5 linked regions of the Sus scrofa genome follow. The protein of the gene in region 1 interacts with the protein of each later gene in a pairwise test. Links are inferred from orthologs where the notes say so. Each region holds a gene or a part of one and is shown in the gene's direction. Other genes may lie near its edges.

The links.
Region 2: the proteins of CRY1 (region 1) and PLSCR1 interact in a two-hybrid assay, tested with the Homo sapiens proteins (2 studies listed by BioGRID and IntAct). The link is inferred for Sus scrofa from reciprocal best matches to the Homo sapiens genes CRY1 and PLSCR1.
Region 3: the proteins of CRY1 (region 1) and ARNTL interact in a two-hybrid assay, tested with the Homo sapiens proteins (3 studies listed by BioGRID, with this or other methods). The link is inferred for Sus scrofa from reciprocal best matches to the Homo sapiens genes CRY1 and BMAL1.
Region 4: the proteins of CRY1 (region 1) and PER2 interact in a two-hybrid assay, tested with the Homo sapiens proteins (5 studies listed by BioGRID, with this or other methods). The link is inferred for Sus scrofa from reciprocal best matches to the Homo sapiens genes CRY1 and PER2.
Region 5: the proteins of CRY1 (region 1) and PER1 interact in binary tests that used the Homo sapiens proteins (3 or more experiments, as listed by UniProt). The link is inferred for Sus scrofa from reciprocal best matches to the Homo sapiens genes CRY1 and PER1.

The regions. Positions count from the first base shown.
Region 1 is NC_010447.5:13,274,100-13,278,615, forward strand, and holds the start of CRY1 (cryptochrome-1), read left to right. Parts: upstream 1-1,449; 5' UTR 1,450-2,077; coding exon 2,078-2,235; intron 2,236-4,516.
Region 2 is NC_010455.5:86,846,365-86,850,131, reverse strand, and holds part of PLSCR1 (phospholipid scramblase 1), read left to right. Parts: intron 1-797; coding exon 798-1,018; intron 1,019-2,333; coding exon 2,334-2,495; intron 2,496-3,767. UniProt on the Homo sapiens protein: Catalyzes calcium-induced ATP-independent rapid bidirectional and non-specific movement of phospholipids (lipid scrambling or lipid flip-flop) between the inner and outer leaflet of the plasma membrane resulting in collapse of the phospholipid asymmetry which leads to phosphatidylserine externalization on the cell surface.
Region 3 is NC_010444.4:45,896,014-45,899,780, reverse strand, and holds part of ARNTL (aryl hydrocarbon receptor nuclear translocator-like protein 1), read left to right. Parts: intron 1-2,417; coding exon 2,418-2,520; intron 2,521-3,477; coding exon 3,478-3,638; 3' UTR 3,639-3,767. UniProt on the Homo sapiens protein: Transcriptional activator which forms a core component of the circadian clock.
Region 4 is NC_010457.5:137,802,523-137,806,289, reverse strand, and holds part of PER2 (period circadian protein homolog 2), read left to right. Parts: intron 1-1,432; coding exon 1,433-2,208; intron 2,209-3,291; coding exon 3,292-3,478; intron 3,479-3,767. UniProt on the Homo sapiens protein: Transcriptional repressor which forms a core component of the circadian clock.
Region 5 is NC_010454.4:53,373,770-53,378,177, reverse strand, and holds the start of PER1 (period circadian protein homolog 1), read left to right. Parts: upstream 1-1,454; 5' UTR 1,455-1,605; intron 1,606-1,834; 5' UTR 1,835-1,971; intron 1,972-4,359; exon of another isoform or gene 4,360-4,408. UniProt on the Homo sapiens protein: Transcriptional repressor which forms a core component of the circadian clock.

The DNA.
Region 1 (4,516 bases):
TGAGGGATGTGATAAGGAAAGAGCTTTGGATTCAGAAACAGTCTTGGTGTTTCATCTATTTATTTTTATTTCGAAGCTTCAATGTCTTCAACTGCAAAGTGGGCATAAATTAAGTAATACTAAGCTGCCTCATAAGATTATTATGAGGGCTCATAATAACCAATATAAAGTGCCTGACCTATAGTAGGTGTTAAGTCAAAGTTTTTATTAAATGGTTACTCCTCTCAAAGATATATTAACAATCTATATGCCATTAAAAACCCTTCAGTCTCTGAGGAATGCACAATTGACAGTACTGATGCTTTTATAAAAAGTTAGTACTTTTAGGTGTAATGAAAGTTACATACATCCACATACAGCTATTTAAGAAAAAAAAAAACCCTTCTTTATTGAATGGACAATAGGCAAAAATAAGGCAATTCTACACAAATCAATACTACTTACAACTGTTGCATTTGGATGCTTGAAAATAATTCTTGTGTCTTTAGACACAATCTGCTTACTTTCAAACTACCTAAAATGAAACATGAAACACTTTTTAAAAGTATAATAGGCTCTGGAGCATGAAGCATTGCCTCTAGAAAGGTAGGCAAAGGCCCCATCACAAAGAGCCCTATAAACCGCACCAACTTTAAGAAACTAGGGCTGACAAGTTGACAATATACAGATGGTATCAAGGAATTGCAGTAACACCTGGCACCAATCCTATGAATTACCCCTCTTCCCCAGAGCACGTGCAAGGGTGCTCTGCCTCGAGGGCCACAAGAATGAGAAGGACGCCAGCTCTACACGCTCCAAGGCAGGGTTGGGTTCTGCAGTCAAGCTGGAAGGAAGCACATGGTTTGGGCTCCACGTCTAAGGGGAGCCTCTTACTCCGCTCTTTTCACCGCATACCGCCCGCACTCCCCACCTGGCGCCCCCACCGCCTCCTGTTAAGACACCAGGAAGCTTCCTGGCCTTCCCCCGAAACCCCCCGGGAAAAAGCCCCAAGCGCGCTCCAGCAGCCCGGCCCCGCCTTCCTCGCCTCCCTCCGTAAGGCAGCGAGTGCGCACGCGCGCCTACCGGAACTGAGCGCGCGCTCGCGAACTCCCCGCATACCCGTGCTCATCCGGGTCTCGGAGAGCCTCGGCCAATGGTGGCCGCTCACGGCCCCCGAGGGCGGGGCTAAATCTTGCCTCACACGGGGCCTCTGGTCACCGTGGGCGCTTTCAGGCAACGGCGACTCGTCCGCGGAGGAAAGGACAGAGGCAGAGAGTCTAGCGTCTGGGCGAGGGTCGACGGTTTTGAGATGGAGCGGCTGCCGTCTAAAAATTAGAGACTGAATAGCGAGCAGAGTCCCCAGTCAGAGCCGCTGTAGTAAACACACTTCAGAAACGTGAGGTGCCGGGGGTCACGTGGGGAGCGCTCTGTCCAATGAGGAGCCGAGGGCGGGGCCAAGGCCGCTGACGCGGCGGTGGCGGAGGAGTCACCCGGGCAGCCTCGGGACCGGTCTCGGGCCGGCAACCGTCCAGCGGCTTTGACCACCGCCTCAGCGTTCCGTCCTCACGCCTCTTTCCTGGGCCGAGAGGTAGCGTGGCCGACAGTCGCTGAATTCTCTCTCCTCCCTGTCGGTGGTTTGCCTCAGGCGGGCCGTTTGCGCTTCAGGGGCCGCCTCCGTGGGGCGAGGTTTCCGTGACGAATCTCCTGGGGCTGCCCGCGCCGGCTCGGGCCGTCGTGGCGGCTCGGGCTCGTGGAACTTGCTCATCCTCCGGGGGTCCGGAGCCCTCGAAGTTAGGCGTCTCATCCAGGCGGTCGTGGCGGGTGCCGGCTCTTAAAGGGCGTCACGGCAGGACTCCGCTGACTGGGCAATCTCCATTCATCTTCCAGCCGCACGGGCAGCGCCCTCTCCCTCGCGGGTCCCCTACTCGGACTCATTTTTTCCTTTCCCCGCTCTGCTGCCCTTTCCTCACTCCTTGGGTGCGGCGATTCTCCTGGAAGCGGGGGTGTCGGTTATGAGCTGGACCCTCTTGCCCTGAATTTCTCGGGGCAGGAACTCGGCGGCGCCGCCGCGCCGCCTGCCGCCCACCGCGCCCCCGGGATGGGGGTGAACGCGGTGCACTGGTTCCGAAAGGGGCTCCGGCTTCACGACAACCCCGCCCTGAAGGAGTGCATTCAGGGCGCCGACACCATCCGCTGCGTCTACATCCTCGACCCCTGGTTCGCCGGCTCTTCCAATGTGGGCATCAACAGGTGGAGGTGAGTCAAAATCCTGTGAGAAATTGATTTCGTTGTTTCATGAATTGGGACTTTACGTGCGATCGACCACATCTAAGAATGTAGACCTGGGACCGCTGTGCTTATGCAGTTTTAATTATTGCAGGTGCTTTAAGCATTAAATAGAATGGGCTTAATGGTTCTCTGGCCGAAGAGTGCCGGCAGCCTGGAACACCTTGGCCTTCAGCTATGAGTTATGTATCTCTGTGCTGATGAGGACTCTTCTGCGTTTATGGAAAATTCTTAGTGGGGGAGTTAAAGAACCACCCCTTCCAATTAAGTGGCCATGGATTGATTTCCTTGGCCGCCGTGTGACACTGAAGGGATTGCGGTTTTTAATGTTTACGTTTGTGTGTGTCTAGGTAACTCATAGAATGGAGAAAATCATTCATTCAGTATTGTCGCCTCCAAACCCAGTTTTCTTCCACCTTGAGGTTGTTTTGGGAAAAGCAAGGAAGACTACATTTCCCTTTGCTCAACTCTTTCAACTCCTCCTTGTGGTTGACTAGACACAGCACAGTTTTTCTTTCTAAGCAAAGTATAATCCTAGGATTCAGAGCACTGGAAGAAATCTTAGAGAAGTTTTACCATCTTTTCTCGAAATGCCAGGCTAGATGATTGTTAGACCGCCTGGTGGAATGAGAATATTCATTCAGCTGACAGATTATTGATCACCTACTGTATACCAGGCACTGTTTAAAACACCAGGGATACAGTTATTGAATGAGACAGACAGAAATTCTTGTCCTTTTTGAAGACATGTCCCAGAAAGTATATAGTATTTAGTGGTGATAAATGATGTGCAGAAATACAGAGAAAGGGGATGAAAAATACGACGGGGTGGGATTGGAGTTGCAATTTAAAATATGGTGATAGGGAAAAACCCATATTGAGCAAGATGATGAAGCAAGTAATAGATTACAGATACCTAAGGAAAAGCATTCCAGGGAGAAGGAACAGTAAGATAAAAGGTCCTGAGATGGAGATATTCTTAACCTTTGGAAAGAATAGCAGAAGAAACCGATCTACTGGAGCAGAGTAAATGAGAGGAAAAGTAGTAAATGAGGTCAAAGATGTAATGGGCCAGATTGAGTAGAGCTTTATAGGCAGTTGTCAAGATTTGGGCTTTTACTCATAGCAAAGTGGGAATAACTGTAGGAGTATGAGCAGAGAAGTGATGTGATTTGAATCAAGCTTTTAAAAAAGTCTCTGGCTGTGGTTCTGAGAACAGACTGAATTGTAGAGTGGAGGTGGGCAAGAAGCAGGAAGACCAGTTAGCAGTTCATTGCTTTCATCCAGGTGAGATATGATAATGGCTTAGACTGTAGTGATCATGGTGGACATAGTGAGAAATAGTCAAATGTTGCGTGTATGTTGAAGGCAGAACACACAGTATTTGTCAACAGATTGTATGTGTGACATAAGAGAAAGAGAAGGAATTAGGAATGATGTAAATTTTTTTGACTTGAGAAACGAGAAGGATGGAGCTGCTTTTTGCTAAGTGATTAGTGGGAAAGGCCATTGAAAGGGTGATTTGAGTTCTCTTTTGAACTTGGTTAATTTTGAGGTGTTTATTGCACATCCAAGTGGAGACAGCGGATAGGCAGTTGGATATATCTGCAGCTAAGGACAGAGACCCAGGCAGGAGGTATAAATTAGAGAATTATCAGTTTATAGATAATATTTAAAGCCATTTATTAATCCATTCATTCATTGAACAAATTCAGGTCATTCATCTACATGCCAGATACTTTTAGGTGCAGGGCATTCAGTATAAATAAAATAGCTAAAAAATCTCTACCTTGTTGAAGCTACATTCTAGTAGAGCCATGAGACTATATCAGAACATTAAGAGAGTGAGTATAGGTAGAAAAGAGAGGAGGTCCAAGAACTGAGCCTTGGGGAGTTCCCGTTGTGGTTCAGTGGATTAAGGAACCAATGTTGTCTCTGTGACAATGCAGGTTCCATCCTTGGCCTTGTTCAGTGGGTTAAGGATGCAGTGTTTCCACAAGCTGCCATGTAGGTCTTAGATGCGGCTTGGATTCACTGTTGCTGTGACTGTGGCATAGGTCTAAGTTGCAGCTCTCATTTGACCCCTAGCACAAGAACTTCCAACTGCAGGTGAGGCCACAAAAATAAAAAGGAAAAGACCCAGAAGAAAAACAAACCCCCAAAACCCAAAATCAGGAAATGAGCCTTGGGCCTCTAATGTGTTGAAATTGTGGAGCTGTGGAAGAAACAGCATAGGAGATTGAGAAGCAAC
Region 2 (3,767 bases), on another chromosome or scaffold:
TGTGGCTGTGGTTTAGGCTGGCAGCTGCAGATCTGATGCAACCCCTAGCCTGGGAACTTCCATATACCACATGTGTGGCCTTAAAAAGCAAAAAAAAAAAAAAAAAGATTAATTAAAAAATAAATAAATAGGGGGAGTTCCCGTCGTGGTGCAGTGGTTAACAAATACGACTAGGAACCATGAGGTTGCGGGTTCGATCCCTGCCCTTGCTCAGTGGGTTAATGTTCCGGCGTTGCCCTGAGCTGTGGTGTAGGTCGCAGACACGGCTCGGATCCTGCGTTGCTGTGGCTCTGGCGTAGGCTGGCAGCTACAGCTCCGATTAGACCCCTAGCCTGGGAACCTCCATATGCCGCGGGAGCGGCCCAAGAAATGGCAAAAAAGACAATAAATAAATAAATAAATAAATAAAAATGGTATAGCTAGATATTGTAGTATCTTAGGATACATTTCTCTTTTATTTTTTCTTTTTTGTTTTTTGTTTTTTTTTGTCTTTTTGCCTTTTCTAGGGCCACTCCTGAGGTATATGGAGATTCTCAGGCTAGGAGTCTAATCAGAGCTGTAGCCACTGGCCTACGCCACAGCCACAGCAACTTGGGATCTGAGCCACATCTGCAACCTACACCACAGCTCATGGCAACGCCGGATCCTTAGCCCACTGAGCAAGGCCAGGGATCGAACCCGCAACCTCATAGTTCCTAGTCGGATTTGTTAACCACTACACCATGATGGGAACTCCAGGATACATTTATTATTTTTTAACACAATAGTCATAATGATTCCCTCTTATATGTTTTTAGTCTTAACAGGCTTTGAAACTAATAACAAATATGAAATCAAGAACAGCCTTGGACAGAGGATTTACTTTGCAGCAGAGGACACTGATTGCTGTACTAGAAACTGCTGTGGGCCTTCTAGGCCTTTCACCATGAGAATTCTTGATAATATGGGCCGAGAAGTCATAACTCTGGAGAGACCACTAAGATGTACCAGCTGTTGTTTCCCCTGCTGCCTGCAAGAGGTTGGTAAGCAAGTGCCAGGGTAATTTTTGCAAATATTTTGCAAAGTAATCCTGCAGGAATTTTCACCTCATCATTGAATTTATGGAATCAAATGAGATTTAAAGGAAAATAAGTCCATAAGCTATTGGTTTTTGCTTGAGAGTAAGTTGTACAGGAAGGAAGGCAGGTGAGAAAGAGTGAACAATTAGCCCCATGTCCCTGAACAGTGCACATCCTGGGAGATCAGAGGTCTCAGAGGCCAGACTTCTTGATCTTCAGGGAGAGCCGAGAAGGCAGGGCACCTTAGTGAAGTACCCCACCTGAAATGACCATGAGGGGCTTGGCCAAAGCCCAAGGAGGACACCCTGTAGGATATCCTAGAACGCCATCCCAGAGGCAAGTGAACAAAAGAATGGGGAAAAGCACAGATACGTTCATCTCAATTTTCGCCAACCTACAAGGACCAAACCTAGCAGAGGCTTCCTCTGAGAAATTTCAACTGCTGTTGTTTTCAGTTCTCCACTGGAAAAAAGTACTGTATTTGAGTCCCTGCAATATGGATGTGCTGGTTGTGAACCCCTTCAGCTCTAGAGAGACCAGGTGTCTCTTTCATAGTACTTGACAGCCCTCTGATAGAGAACACAGATCTCAGGGAGATGCCAGTGCACAGAGTGTTTATAGGAAGTTGGCCTTTGCCTAGATCCCCACTGACCTGAGCCCAGCACTGCCTGGGTCACTCGGTCATCCGCACAGGGAGCTGTGAGAGCAGGGCAGACAGAGACACAGGCACATAAAGATCTGATGTCTAATACTGCACTTATTTTGAAAAGATAAAAGAACTTATTTAAACTGAATTTTGGTTTTCATGTTATTTAATTTAGATGTGATAATATTTATAGGAATAGTTGAGGGAAAACTGATTTGATAGAATATTTTCCACAATTTGTAGAGCACATTAGCATACTTTATACTATTGGTTTTAATAAACAGGAAATCCTCATTTACAGATGAACATGCTGAGATGCTCTCAGGGTCACCCATACATTTTTCCTAAGTATAAAAAATTTAAAATCTAAGAGACCAGTAGAGCAGTGCTCAGAGTGGGGATTGTGAGTTTATAGCTCATCTTCTACTTTGCATCTGGGGAATCTGATGCAAGTTAGTTAGCCTCACTGTTCATCAGTTACTTCCTCTATAAATAGAGATGATAGTACCAACCTGGTAAAGACATGGTGCGAACTAAAACAGTGCCTAACATTAGAAGGGGTTCAGTAAATGAGAGTTCTTACTAGACATTTTTATGATTACAATTTATATATTCTTTTGCTTTTGTAGATAGAAATCCAAGCTCCTCCTGGCATACCAGTAGGTTATGTTACTCAAACCTGGCACCCATGCTTGCCAAGGTTTACAGTTCAAAATGAGAGGCGAGAAGACGTACTAAAAATTACTGGTCCATGTGTTGTCTGCAGCTGTTGTGCAGATATTGATTTTGAGGTAAGAGATGTGATAATGTTTATAGGTTTTGCTTTCTTAACATAAGAATAATATAAACTTAGAGGATGTTACAAATGTATTAAGTAAATATGTATGCCCTGATTCCTCAAAAGGGACTCAGTGTGCTCATATATTTATTTTTTGTCGGGGAGATGGTTATGGCTCTGATTAGGTGTCACTGTTGCTTATGCTAAATGGAAAAAAGAAAAGCAGAACTTTGTAGTCAAGTAACTATAAACAAAACACCTAACATTTAAACATGGTGGTTTCTGTATGGAGGCATTGTATATTACCCATTTTAAACAGAACATTAACCTTGTCATTTAAGTCTGAATGCCAAAGCTTACAGTCCTTTCTTAGTCTGAAACACTGACTGCCAGTACTCTAGGCCCTCTTCAGAAGCTCTAATATCTTTGAGTTCCTACGAAAACTCAATTATGCAGAAAGAATTTTAACAAAGATAATGTAAGAGGTACTACCTAATTATGCTTTTTTTTATTTTTAATAGTCATTTCCCCAATATAATTTTTTTTTCTACTGTACAGCATGGTGACCCAGTTACACATACATGTATACATTATTTTTTTCCCATTATCATGCTCCATCGTAAGTGACTAGACATAGTTCCCTGTGCTGCACAGTAGGATCTCATTGCTAATCTATTCCAAAGGCAATAGTTTGCATCTAATTATGCTTCTTCATGATCATGCTTTTATCCTCATATTAAGTTCATTCATTAGAAATCACAATATGTGTGTATATTTACTACCTGGAGGAATTTCATCACAGCAGTTTTTCATCAAGTGGGGCCCAGCTTTATGGCTCAAAGTATTATTTAGTTGCAAATGCTTAAAAGTTGAGAGATTATAAAATCTATCTTGCTATCATGATTCTTTCATATAAGCATAAAATCTGTTAAACTGGACCATTTCTACAGAAGGGATAGAAATCTAAAACTGAACAGAGCTGTCCCCTTATGATAAATAAGATATGGGAATTCTGCCACTGTCCTCTGGCTTCCCAAGGTCTCCCATTATTCAGCTTCATTCTTTTATATTATCTGCCTGGCTTCTCTCATAATGATTTTTAATTCCTCTGTTATATAAGGATGAATTACTACTCTCATTGACCTCAAAGTCTAACGAGAGAGACAGGAAATTCTAAGAAAACATGTATGATGTATATAGAGACGCTTATAAAGGATGCATATACTGTGTGTGTGTGTGTGTGTGTGTGTGTGTGTGTGTGTGTGTGCATGTGTGTGCATGTGTG
Region 3 (3,767 bases), on another chromosome or scaffold:
CCTAGCCTGGGGACCTCCATATGCTGTGGGTGTGGCCCTAAAAAGACAAAAAAAAAAAAAAAAAAAAAAAAAAAAAAAAAAAAAAAGGAGGCTTAGTGAGCTTCAGAGGTTCAGGGAGAGTTAAGACATGTAGAGGCACCAAGGCAGGGTCAGATAAAGCAGCAGTTGCCTAATCCTCTGTGGCTTTTTGGTGGGGGTGGGGGAGAAGGGATCTTTTCAGGGGTCTGCATGGCCAAAATTATTTCCATCATAATGCTAAAACACTTTTTCTCACTGTGTTGAAATATGAACTGATAGTACAAAAGCAATGTTGGGTAAAACTACGGGTGCTTTTGCAAAAATCACGCTTGTACTGTACTAGTACTCACTGGATCTCACCACCACATACTCACAATAAAAAAAATGGTAAATTTAAAAGCTACTTAGAATGTTCTTCATAAATCAGTAAAATAGTCTTATAATATCCTTGACTAAATCTTTTTACTACTGTTACAAAATGGCAAGTACGCTTAAAGCACTTGTGCTTAAAGTATGACGGTTGTCTCGAGGAAGCACTTGTGTGACTATTTAAGTTATAAGCTGAACCAAATGCCTTTTCCATAGGACATCATTTTTATCATCACAAACTGTGGTTTTCAGACTTGAGTATTTAACATGCAATTTCTTGAAAATTAATGAACCTGTGATTTCAAGGAAAACAATGATAGTGATAAAATTTTAACTTTCAAGCAAAATTTAGAATTTTTAGAAAATTTCGATCTACTGCTTTGAGCTCAAATGCTTCCCCAAACTTAAAAGATATTATTTGATGATATAGGTAATATCAACAACGGTGATTTTTTTTTTGTTTTGTTTTTTCTTTTTAGGGCTGCACCTGTGGCATGTGGAGATTCTCAGGCTAGGGGTTGAATCAGAGCTGTAGTTCACTGCCTGCAACACCAGATCCAAGCAGCGTCTGCGACCTACACCACAGCTCACAGCAATGCCAGAGCCTTAACCCACTGAGTGAGGCCAGGGATTGGACCTGTGTCCTCATGGATGCTAGTCAGATTTGTTTCTGCTGAGCCACAATAGGTTCTCCAGCAATAGTGATGTTTTGATGCTGGACAGTGAAATGTGCCTATGTTTGGAAGATCCTGCGTAGCTTAGTGAACCAGTATTTTGCAAATGACCAATGTAAGATATTTCAAAATCACACAGAGGTAAAAGATCCATCATAAATGCCAAGATAAACTCATATGGTTTCAAATCCCACATTGCAGCTGATCTTTAAGAACTTCCACTTGCTGAGTTTTGATGTAATATCAAAGAGGCAGACCATGATTATTTGAAAAGACTATTAAAATACATCTCCCTTTTCCAACTGCGTATCTAGAGAGCCCTGATTTCCTTCATAAATGCTTTTCAAACACATCTAAACAGCTTGAATTGAGAAGCAAATGAGAATCCAGTTAAACTGTTAAGCCAGACATTTGATTTGCAAAAAAATGTAAAACGACATTTCTCACTTTTTGATGCTTTGGAAAATTATTTTTCATTAAATTGCTTTTCATGGTAATATGTAATAAGTTTTTCATATTCCAAAAATATATTAGTTTCAACTTCAAATATAGCAAATAATGATATAGCCTAAATAAATTCTTTGGCTTCCTCATTTTTCAGAGTGTAGTCTTTTTGACAATCTTGTCAAAAAGTTGTTATGGGGTGGTTGTAATGCCATATACCGGCAAGGCCTGCAATCACTGCCTCCTGAAATCCAAGCCTCTACCAAACCGTTTCCTCACTTACATCCAAATACTTCTCAAAGGTGTTTGTGAGACTCATGTCAGGAGGAGGAAGCTGGAGGGAGACAGAGAGCTCTGCTTCTGAGGAGTGGTAATAAAAATTCTCAGCAGTCTCTCAACAACTGATTACTGAAACTGGCATTTGAGGTTTAACTAGTGATTTATCTCTAGTGTTTTGTTTATTTGCGACTCCTCAGAGCTGTGTCTCTTCACAGTATAATCTTTATTTCTTCTTTAGCAACATCTGTTGCTATAAGACGTTTTTTTACTCCCTTACAGGGGACCTGCCCACCTGGGCTCATTGAGGTTTAGTCCTTGGCCTTAAAGAACATGTGAACAGCATGATTCAAGTTAATGAATGCTCTAGGGATTTTATTCAGCCCTTAAATTGCCTGTGTGGGCTGAATGGAATACAAAAAGGAGAACAGTTTGGGGGAGAGTGTTGTTTTTTTTTTCCTTACCGTGACCATTCCTAATAGTCTCTTAGGTGAAATCATCCAGTAAGAAACCAAAGCCTTAATTTTAAGCTTTTTCTCACCTTCCTCTTTTCAACCTGCTTCATTTTCTTGGTGACATCACATATACTACTGATGCAAAATGTTGATGATGTGAAAACTTCACTTTTGTTTGTAGATTTTAAATGGAGGGACTCCAGACATTCCTTCTAGTGGCCTACTCCCAGGACAGGCTCAGGAGAACCCAGGTTATCCATATTCTGATAGCTCTTCTATTCTTGGTAAGTAGCATTATTACCTATTTCCATTGCAATGAGCTTTTAAAAAAAAAATCTGGCATAAAGTCAATCTTAAGAACTGAACATGCAAAACGAGCTAGTTCTAGGTAAACTTGATAAGAACAAGTTTAATGATTGGGTGCTGGTGCTGGTGCAGGTCCAGGTTTGTCCCTGCAACTCAGGAGGATGCTAGAGGAGCCTTGACACAGGCTTTCTCCCAGCATGTGGAACATAATCTCTTCAGAGGGGATATCGGATGGAGGTTCAGAGATAATGCCTAAAACGGTGATCAGTCAGCATTTCAGAGGATATTAAAAGTCATTAAGGGATAAAGAGTTTGCTTCTCCTGGAGTTCCTGTTGTGGGGCAGCGGAAACAAATCTATTAGCCATAAGGCTGCAGGTTTGATCCCTGACCTTGCTCAGTGGGTTAAGGATCCCGAGTTGCCATGAGCTGTGGTGTAAGTCACAGACGTGGCTCGGATCTGGTGTAGCTATGGCTGTGGTGCAGGCCGGCAGCTGTAGCTCCGATTCAACCTCACCTGGGAACTTCCATGTGCCACAGGTGAGGCCCTAAAAAGAAAATAAGAGTTTGCTTCTCCCATCCTACTCATCTTTTTCTCTACTTACCTTTCTAAATCTTTCCCCCCTAATCTCTACCTTCCTATTTCTTTCCTTCTTTAACTCCCTCCTTATAGCTGGTTATATCAGATTATTAAAATGAGGTCAACTCAGATACTTTTAATTTTTATGGTGTTTTAAGTACTTTGTTCTTAAAAAGTTGGTTCTTCCCTCTGAAAAACACCAAGGTTAAAACATATGTGGCAATCCAGCCCCCAAGCAGCATCTCTCATCCTTCTCACCCTACTGTTAAGAAAGTTATTAAGTGTGCTTAGGAACTGCTTACTGTAGTTAAACATGCTTTGGTACTATCACTGACCAGTCTTTATCTCCCCCCATAGGTGAGAACCCTCACATAGGCATAGACATGATAGACAACGATCAAGGCTCAAGCAGTCCCAGTAATGATGAAGCAGCAATGGCTGTCATAATGAGCCTCTTGGAAGCAGATGCTGGGCTGGGTGGCCCTGTTGACTTTAGCGACTTGCCATGGCCGCTGTAAACACTACATGTTGCTTTGGCAACAGCTACAGTATCAAAGTGCATTACTGATGGAGTTTTACAGTCTGTGAAGCTTACTGGACAAGGAGAGAACAGCTTTTATGTACTGTCTTCATAAAAGCCATCTCAG
Region 4 (3,767 bases), on another chromosome or scaffold:
GTCCCTGGGCAGACACACCGAAACCAGAAGTGAGAGGCCGACACCCTCCTTGAGGATTGTATCTTCCCCTCTCCTTTCCCCTTCCTCACTAGGCTCAGGGTCACTGCCAGCACATGGGGGACCTCGGTGGAAATTGGGAAAAGGTACACCCCCCAACCGTGGCCACAGCTTGCTGCAGGAGTCCAGCCCCCTCCGGCCCCTTGGCCCAGCAGTTTGTGCAGTGCCCAGACTGCACAGCTGTCCACAGCAGCCCTGCCCGGACCCTGGTGTGCTATCCCAGGAGCCCAGTGCTTTAGCTGCTAGTCCCAACAGGGGACAGATTTCCTGTGGGAAGAACACCAGACAGGCCGAATCACAAAACCTCCACCCACTTAGCAGTTGGCCTTGAGCTGGCTGCGTGTGGCGAGCTGGCAGGGGACGTCCCCACATACCTGCTGCAAGAGGCCAGATTTACCCTCTATGACAGAGAGGGAGAACTGAGGCTTCTGGGAACCGGGCCATTGCCCATCCTGCCCCAAGGCCCAGGGAGGTGGGGGGACATGCCCAGAGTCCCTCATGTCACCAGTGGAGTCCCCCCAGTGTCCTGAAGAAGGCCTCTCTGGCAGCACTTGTCATCAGAGAGGAAGCACCAGTTCCAAGGGCTAGTGTCCCTCTGACCCTTTGACCTCACGGGGTGGAATCGCAGGCTTATTTGGCAGGTGAAACAGGAAACGTCTCTTTTTAAGGAACAGCGATAAAGTTCGGTTCTGCCTTTAAGATTTCACAGACCTCTAACGGGGAACAGCATCAACTTGCCAGCTTTCCTACTGTTTTGGACGAATAAAACCTTTTAACACCACTTGTCACCATTACTTCATAAAAGAAAGGGCATTTTATTTTATTTTTTATTTTATTTTATTTTTTTTGTATTTTCTAGGGCTGTACCCGAGGCATATGGAGGCTCCCAGGCTAAGGGTCTCATCGGAGCTGTAGCCCCTGGCCTACACCACAGCCACAGCAATGCCGGATCCAAGCCGCATCTGCGATCTACACCACAGCTCTCACGGCAACACCGGATCCCTAACCCACTCAGCGAGGCCAGGGATCAAACCCACAACCTCAGGGTTCCTAGTCGGATTCGTTAACTCCTGAGCCACAACGGGAACACCAAGAAAGTGCACTTTAATGTCAGAAGAACACGAGCAATGTGACCTTGCAACAGAGGATAGTCCTTTGAGTTGATTGAATCCAGTTCTGTGAAGACCTGACGTTTTGCCCTGATTTTTCTCACCTGAGGATCCGGGCGACCAGGTGGATGGTGGCCCCGGGTGGCGTTGGGAACATGGGTCTTGTGCTTCAGGTTTCTGAGATTCCGCAGATCTCTGACAGTTGAAGTCACGAGAAACACAACACAATGTTACCTTTAACGCTCCCTGTTTTCCCATTATTTTAGCTGCTCCTGGACTAAGAAATCCCTCCGGGGTGGACTCATCTTGGAAAAAAAACGGGAAGAACAGAAAACTGAAGTCCAAACGGGTCAAGCCTCGTGACTCCTCGGGAAGCACTGGGTCTGGGGGGCCGGTGCCCCAGAGGCCCCCGCTGCTGGGTCTGAATGCCACAGCCTGGTCACCATCGGACACGTCTCAGTCCAGCTGTCCCTCAATGCCCTTCCCTGCCCCGGTGCCAGCTTACTCCCTGCCCGTGTTTCCAGTCCCAGGAACCGTGGCAGCAGCACCCCACGCCGGCTTCGCGGTGCCCGTGGACACCCAGCACGAGTTTGCGGTCCAGCCCCCGGCATTCGCCGGCCCCTTGGCCCCAGTCCTGGCGCTGGTGGTCCCCAGCTACCCCTTCTCCTCAGTGGCCTCGAACCTGCCCCAGACCTTCTTCCCCGGCCAGCCTAGCTTTCCATCCCAGGTGACTCCTGCCTCACAGTCTGAGTTCCCTGGTCAGACCTCATTCCCCAAACAGCCACATGCATGTCCTCGGGCAGAGCATGGGCCACCAGCGTCACGTGTAGCCACCCCGGCCACCCTGCCATCAGCCGCTGGGCCCGCAGGCAGGACCTCCCCGCCGCTCTTCCAGTCCCGCGGAAGCTCGCCCCTGCAGCTCAACCTGCTGCAGCTGGAGGAGACCCCCGAGGGCAGCGCCTCGGCCACGGGGGCGGCAGGTGCGGGGCCAGACTGCAAGCCTGGCTCGGCCTGGGACCGGCAGCCGAAGGCACTGACGACCGTAAGAATCTCCTGATGCCCCTTCTCTAAGGCAGGCAGGCAGGCAGCAGACGTGGGCACCATGGGCAGGGCATGCCCACGCCCTGGCCTCAGACGTGGGTGTCCCCACACTGAGGTCACTCCCGAGCCATTGCAACTTTGCCGTCAATAGGTGCGCTAGAGAGGAAGGTTTTCCAGGTAACAGGCCCCATCAGCGTCGGCCAGGGAGCTCCTGGCGTCCCGGGGTCTGAAGGAAGAGTGACCGTCTGTCGGTCGCTGCAGGGCCCAGGGACCACAGGGAACGTGGGGACTTGTCATGGCCTCGGGGTTTTGAATGAATCCTTCAAGGATAAAGCGCAGTCAGGGTGAAGTCTAGAATGCAGCCCCTTGGAGTGGAGCCGGCGCCCATGGCGAAGGAGCAGGGCCAGGAGGGAGCTCAGAACCAGGGCCGGGTCCCCATGCCCCCAGGCCTGAGGGTCACCTCCGCGTCCTCTCTCCTGGCTAATGAGATGGGAGTGAGTTCCAGTTAGACCCTTCTGTGTTCTGAGCACTCAGGCGTGGGACGGCGTCAGCTGAGGGGGTGCATCCATGGGCGCCCTGCGGTGGGGGAGCCGCGTGGGTGTCCCCGGCCTGTGCACCAGGGAAACGACAGGGGAACCCAGGGTGGTTCTCCCAGCAGCTCTGTCTCCTGACTCCTGGGCCTGGGGTCCAAGGATGGGAGGGTCGGGGTGCGCCCGGGCCCAGCCCCCTCGCGCCCAGCACCGTCCCCACCCTGGGGGCACAGGAGCGGGAAGCCCTGCCCCTGTGAGGGGCACCCGTGGGGTCCTGTAGAGGCGTCTTCTGCTTCCGTTTCTGCCCTGGGGGAGCGGAAGCTTTTCCCCAGGGATCTGAGAGCTGCCGTCTTTAGCGGGACTCTCCTGGACTGAATGCGATGGGTGGTGTCCCGTCCACCGCTGAGATGCTCACTGTGGTCCTAGTAACCGTGGGGCCTGTGCAGGCGCCACGCGAAGGAAGGGGTGGCGGTCACTGTGTCCCGGGTGTTTGTGCAGACGGGCCTCACTCTGAGCGCGATGCATGATCCGGTGTCTCCTCCCTGTCCCCAAAGGGCGAGGAGCCAGCCGACGCCCAGAACAGCGACGCCCTCTCAGCGTCCAGCGGCCTGCTCCACCTCCTGCTGCACGCGGACGTCTGCTCTGCCGCGGGCTCGGCGCTCTCTGGAAGCGGGGCCTCCGCCACCTCCTGTTCCCTGGGCTCAGGCTCACAGGGCTGCGACGCATCCCCAAGTGGGACAGGTATGTCGGTGGCGCTGGGAGCATCTGAGTGCTGGGGTGCGTGATTCAGGTGCGTTTGGAAGGCTCGCACACGACGGACTGGTGTCCTTGACTGTCCACCCTGCAGGGAACCAGCTGCACCCGAGCCGCAGGCGGTGCTTTGGGCCCGGATCAGGCGCAGCCTGGGTCCCCAGGGGATCCAGCCACCCAGGCGGCTCTGCAGAGCCCACGGCAGCTCAGACGGGCAGGCAGAGCTCCTCCTGCCTCTGCCGGTGCCAGTGGCGGGCCGCAGCCGGTCCCAAGGCCCTCT
Region 5 (4,408 bases), on another chromosome or scaffold:
AGCTTTCCCCCCATTCCTTTTCTGAGGGCATTTTGCTGTTTCTTGGATCCCTTTCTACTCCTTGACTTAACTCTCAGGTGTTACGCAGTTGCTCCTGTGGTCATTTACTCCTAGACCTGAAATAGGTGGACAACTGGGAAACATCTCTTCCCCTTTGTGCCTAGAACAGTGCTAACATCCAGAAGGGTTAATAAATACTAATTGAACAAAACGGCTCAGGGAGACAGAGGTGAGTGTGGTGTGGAGTCGGCTGCAGGGCTTGCCACCCCTGCCCTGTGTGCAGTCAGACTGGTGACTCTGGACCCCCACACTGAACTCTTAATCTCCAGCAACAAATGCAGCCGATGTGGTACCCTTGCATCTCTGACCCCGGGCACTTCAACAGTAGGTGGGAGTGCTAGGTGAGCTCCGGAGGGCCCATTTTTCTGGGCGGCAACATGAGGGTTCCGCATAGGAAATCTCGATAATGTTTCCTAAACTTGTCGGCTCATGAGAACTACCAGGAATGCTTTTTAAAATAGATTTTCAGGCCCCTTCCCCGGAGATTGAGTCAGCAGTTGTAAGGGACCAAGTGATTCTTATAATTAGGTATACAGTCATTATCATAATGTTCACCATTTGTTGAGGGCTTACTATTTTCAGGACAGGTACTAAGAGCCTTTTTACCCTTCATCTACTGAGTTCTTTACAGGCTTAGGATTCCCGCAGGCTCTTGGACCCGCCTTCTTTATGTGGGAGATCTGGGTTCAAATCATGATCCCATTAGAGACTAGCTTGTTCTTCCGGACAGATTATGTAACCTCTCTGAATCTCAGTATCATTAGTGAGGCGGTGGGAAGTGAGCCGCCGCCTCTTCCGGCTTTATAAGAAGCGCGTGGCCTGGCCACAGAAAATAATCTGGGAGGTGGCTATCATCTTTTTGTCATCATCGTCACGCGGTACGGAGACCTGAAGACCGCTTCACCTAATGCTCACACCTTCCAGCTACTGGGAGTTTCAGGTCCAGAGTCCCAGCGCGGGGGCGCTCTTGTCACGCACGGGACGGCTCTCAAAGCGCCCCCCACAAAGTTACGGGCGCTCACATCTGCGCCTGCGCAGACTCGGCAGTCTAGGGTAAGAGTGTCGTCAAGGAAAATCCCCAGCTTCTAGGTAAACAACTTGCCGCGTGAGACCGCCTGCACGTGTCCTCTACAGCTCCGGAATGTCTCAGCCTATGAGAAAATTGGGAGGGCTGGACTGACGTTTGCGTCACCAATCTAGGCAGGCCGGGGGTGGAGTCACAGCCAATAAGAATTTCGGATGTGAGTGGGGGCGTGTCTTTCCTCAGACCTCCAATCAACGCGCTAGGGCGGCCCCTCCCGCACGTGGATCTGTCGCTTGGTAGGCAAACTGACCAATGAGAAGGTGACGGCGGCGGGCGGTGCCAATGGTAGCTGGGCGGAGGCGGGGGGGGCCCCGCACGCGGCGCGGGGCATGGGTCGGCGCCCTTAGGCCAATAAGCTTGAGGGGCGTGGCGTCCTGGTCGGCGGGCGAGGCTGAAGGAGCGAGTCCAAGTCTCCGAGATCCTAGTTGGGAAGAAACTGTACCGCGCGTGAGAGCCGAGCGGTGAGTGCTCCGGCGTGGTGGGGTGGGGAGCGGGGAGCGGCGGCGATTGGTATAGGTTTTTCCCGCGTGGCGTAAGGAGGAATGTTAATGCAGTACCGTGAAGGAGAATGTGTGGATATGTGATCGCCGCGGTGGGAGCTCTAGTGGTTGCAGGGAATAGGGGCCGCGAACTCAGTTCTAGAGAGAAGGGAGCAGGAATCACTGATTTAAGATCCCTCGCTATTCCAAGGTGCCTGGATCCCTGACTGCCGCGGGGAGGGGTTCGGAAGCGTTCGGCAGCCTGAGGGAGCTGAGACCTCTGCTCCCAGGAGGTACCGGACCCTTTAGAACCAGTGGGGGACGTTCCAGTGCGTGACTGTTGCTCGGGTAGGTGCCTTAAGCACTTGAAAGAGGCCAGGGCGGTGGAGGGAGAAGTTCTCGTCGTTGTTGCTTCTTCGGTTAAGGACGCCGTTTCTGTGAGGATGCAGGTTCTATCCCTTGGCCTCACTCAGTGGGTTAAGGATCATCAGCTGCAGCGTAGGTCGCAGATGCAGCTCGGATTCCTTGTTGCCCGTGGCTGTGCCGGTTGCTCCAGCTGCAGCTCCGATTGAACCTCTGGCCGGGGAACTCATGCCTCATTTGCGGCCAGCAGTAAAAAGGAAAAAAAAAAAAAAAGCAGGAGTTGTGAAGCTAGAGAGAGGCCCTGGTAGGGCAGGTGGGTGGGTACCAAGGGATTGACAAGGTGACTTGAAAAAGGGTGGTGTGATGATTTATGTGACCCTGAGCCAGTCACATCTTGGCTGTGGCTCTGGATGTCTCTCTCATGTGTAAAAAGAAGGGGTTGGGCCTCGGAGCCATCCTTGGGAGTGAGCGTGGGGTAGGAACTATTGGATCTCAAGAGGGAGGATGGATTTGTGCAGATTGGATGCACGTGTGTCTTCCTGAGTCCTTGGAGGGGAGGAGGCAGGAACTGGGTGCTCTGGTATCTGTCTGTACAAGTAACCAGGCCTGTGGTAAAGTGACCTGTGATGAGGTGGAGGAGTCAGGAAGTGGGGTTCCTAGCAGATCACTGGGGCTAGTGGCTGCCAGGGTGATCTCAAGGACTTTGTGAGAATATGAAAACTGGGACAATGCGATTTGAAGTGTGTAGAGAGTGCAGACTGACTGTTGGGGCGGGGGGGATGGCATCTGTGTTTCAGGCACCAAACTCAGAATGGGCTGGGTATTTGAGAGGCCCAGGTCCCCCAGAGGTGGTAACACCTCACAGGTTCTTGAAGGGTAAGAAGCCAGAACGACAAGCCATTAACAGAGTTCAGATTCGAATCCTGGGCCCCATTTGTTAAGAGTCAGAGAACATATTATGAAGCAACTTAGGCAAGTTTAGTAACTTCTGAGCCTTAGTCGGTCTTTGTGCAATGGGGATAATGATATCTATCTCACAGGCTTGTTCTGAAGATTAAATAAGTTAATGTATGTAAAGTACTCAGCAAAATGCCTGGGTCATATTTAAAAAAAATTTTTTTTAGCTAAAAAATATGGCTGTATGGTGACAGTAACAGGAATGGGTGAAAGATTTCTGTGAATGCTGTGGTTAGGGACTGACAATGCTCACATTCTTAAGCTTTTTTGCAACTTTTAGTGACTCCCTCCCTGTTCTCCTCTTCCTGGTTCTTCTGGGCTGGAGCACCAGCCCCAGTCCCTCATTCCTCTCTTTTATCCCTCCCCCAAGATCCAGGCCCCAGGCTGGGCCACTTGCTCTGTCCCAGTTCGATTTCCTCATCCTTGACCCATTCTCCTCCCTGTCCCTCCTCCCTCTCTCTGCTGCCATGGTAACAAGACATTCAGGCTTTGAAGGGGGCCTCAGGGAAGGAGCAAAGGTGCGTGTTCTCTTGCAGAACCTGGGCCTCCAACTTCCCCGCCCTGGCTCTTTGGGACCGGGCCAGCAGATGTGTACAGTCTGGGAGGGGGGAAAGCCAATGCCAGGAGCTGTAGGAACCAGCCGAGGGAGGGTGGATGCGAGTCTCCAGAAGAGAGCCTGGAGTGGGGGCGGGGGAAGCACCCCTTCCTCCTAATCCTCTCTCCAGGAATCCCTGGCTTTGGGACCGGACGGCTGTCGTTGGGTTGGGGGAGGCGCCCAGGCTGGGTGCATGTCCTGGGCTACCAGCCAAAAGAACATGATGTTCCCAAGTGCGCTGGCCGCCGCCCTCTTGGGCTGGCCGCCTCCCAAACCGCTGCCTCTCCGGCCTCCCTGCCCCACATTCCCCGGCTGCCTCGCCCCGCCCCATCCTCCGCTTTGACGTCACCGCCGTCTCCCGCCCCCTCTCTTCCATTGACGGCAGCAGGGCCTGGTTACTGTGGGGATCGGGAGGCAGGATCTCGGTTAGAGCCTTGAGAGCAAGTGGGAGCTGCTGGAGCCCTGGACCCTTTTGTCCACGCCAGAGAAAAATATGGAGGCGGAGGGCAAGGACTGCCTGTGTCGGGGGAGGTCACATCTAAAGCCCTGAGGAGTGCTGAGGACGAAGAAAAACCGTGTCTCCAGAAGAGGTGTCTGATAGGACCAGGGATTAGGCCACAGTATAGGAGTTGGGGGGACATTTTCAAGGAGAGAAGACTGAGAATCCAGGCTTCCGAATCCTTTATTTTGTGTTTTCTGGCTTTGTTTTTTTCTGGGTTATTCTTTAACCATCCTGTGTCCAGCTTTTACACAGAACCCTTGCCCTGGCTCCCCCCCACCCCCCACCCCCCCCACCCCCACCCCCCACCATTGTCAGGGAGAGCCTAGGCCACGTGACACGGAGGGGCGTGCACCTAGAGCCGATGACGT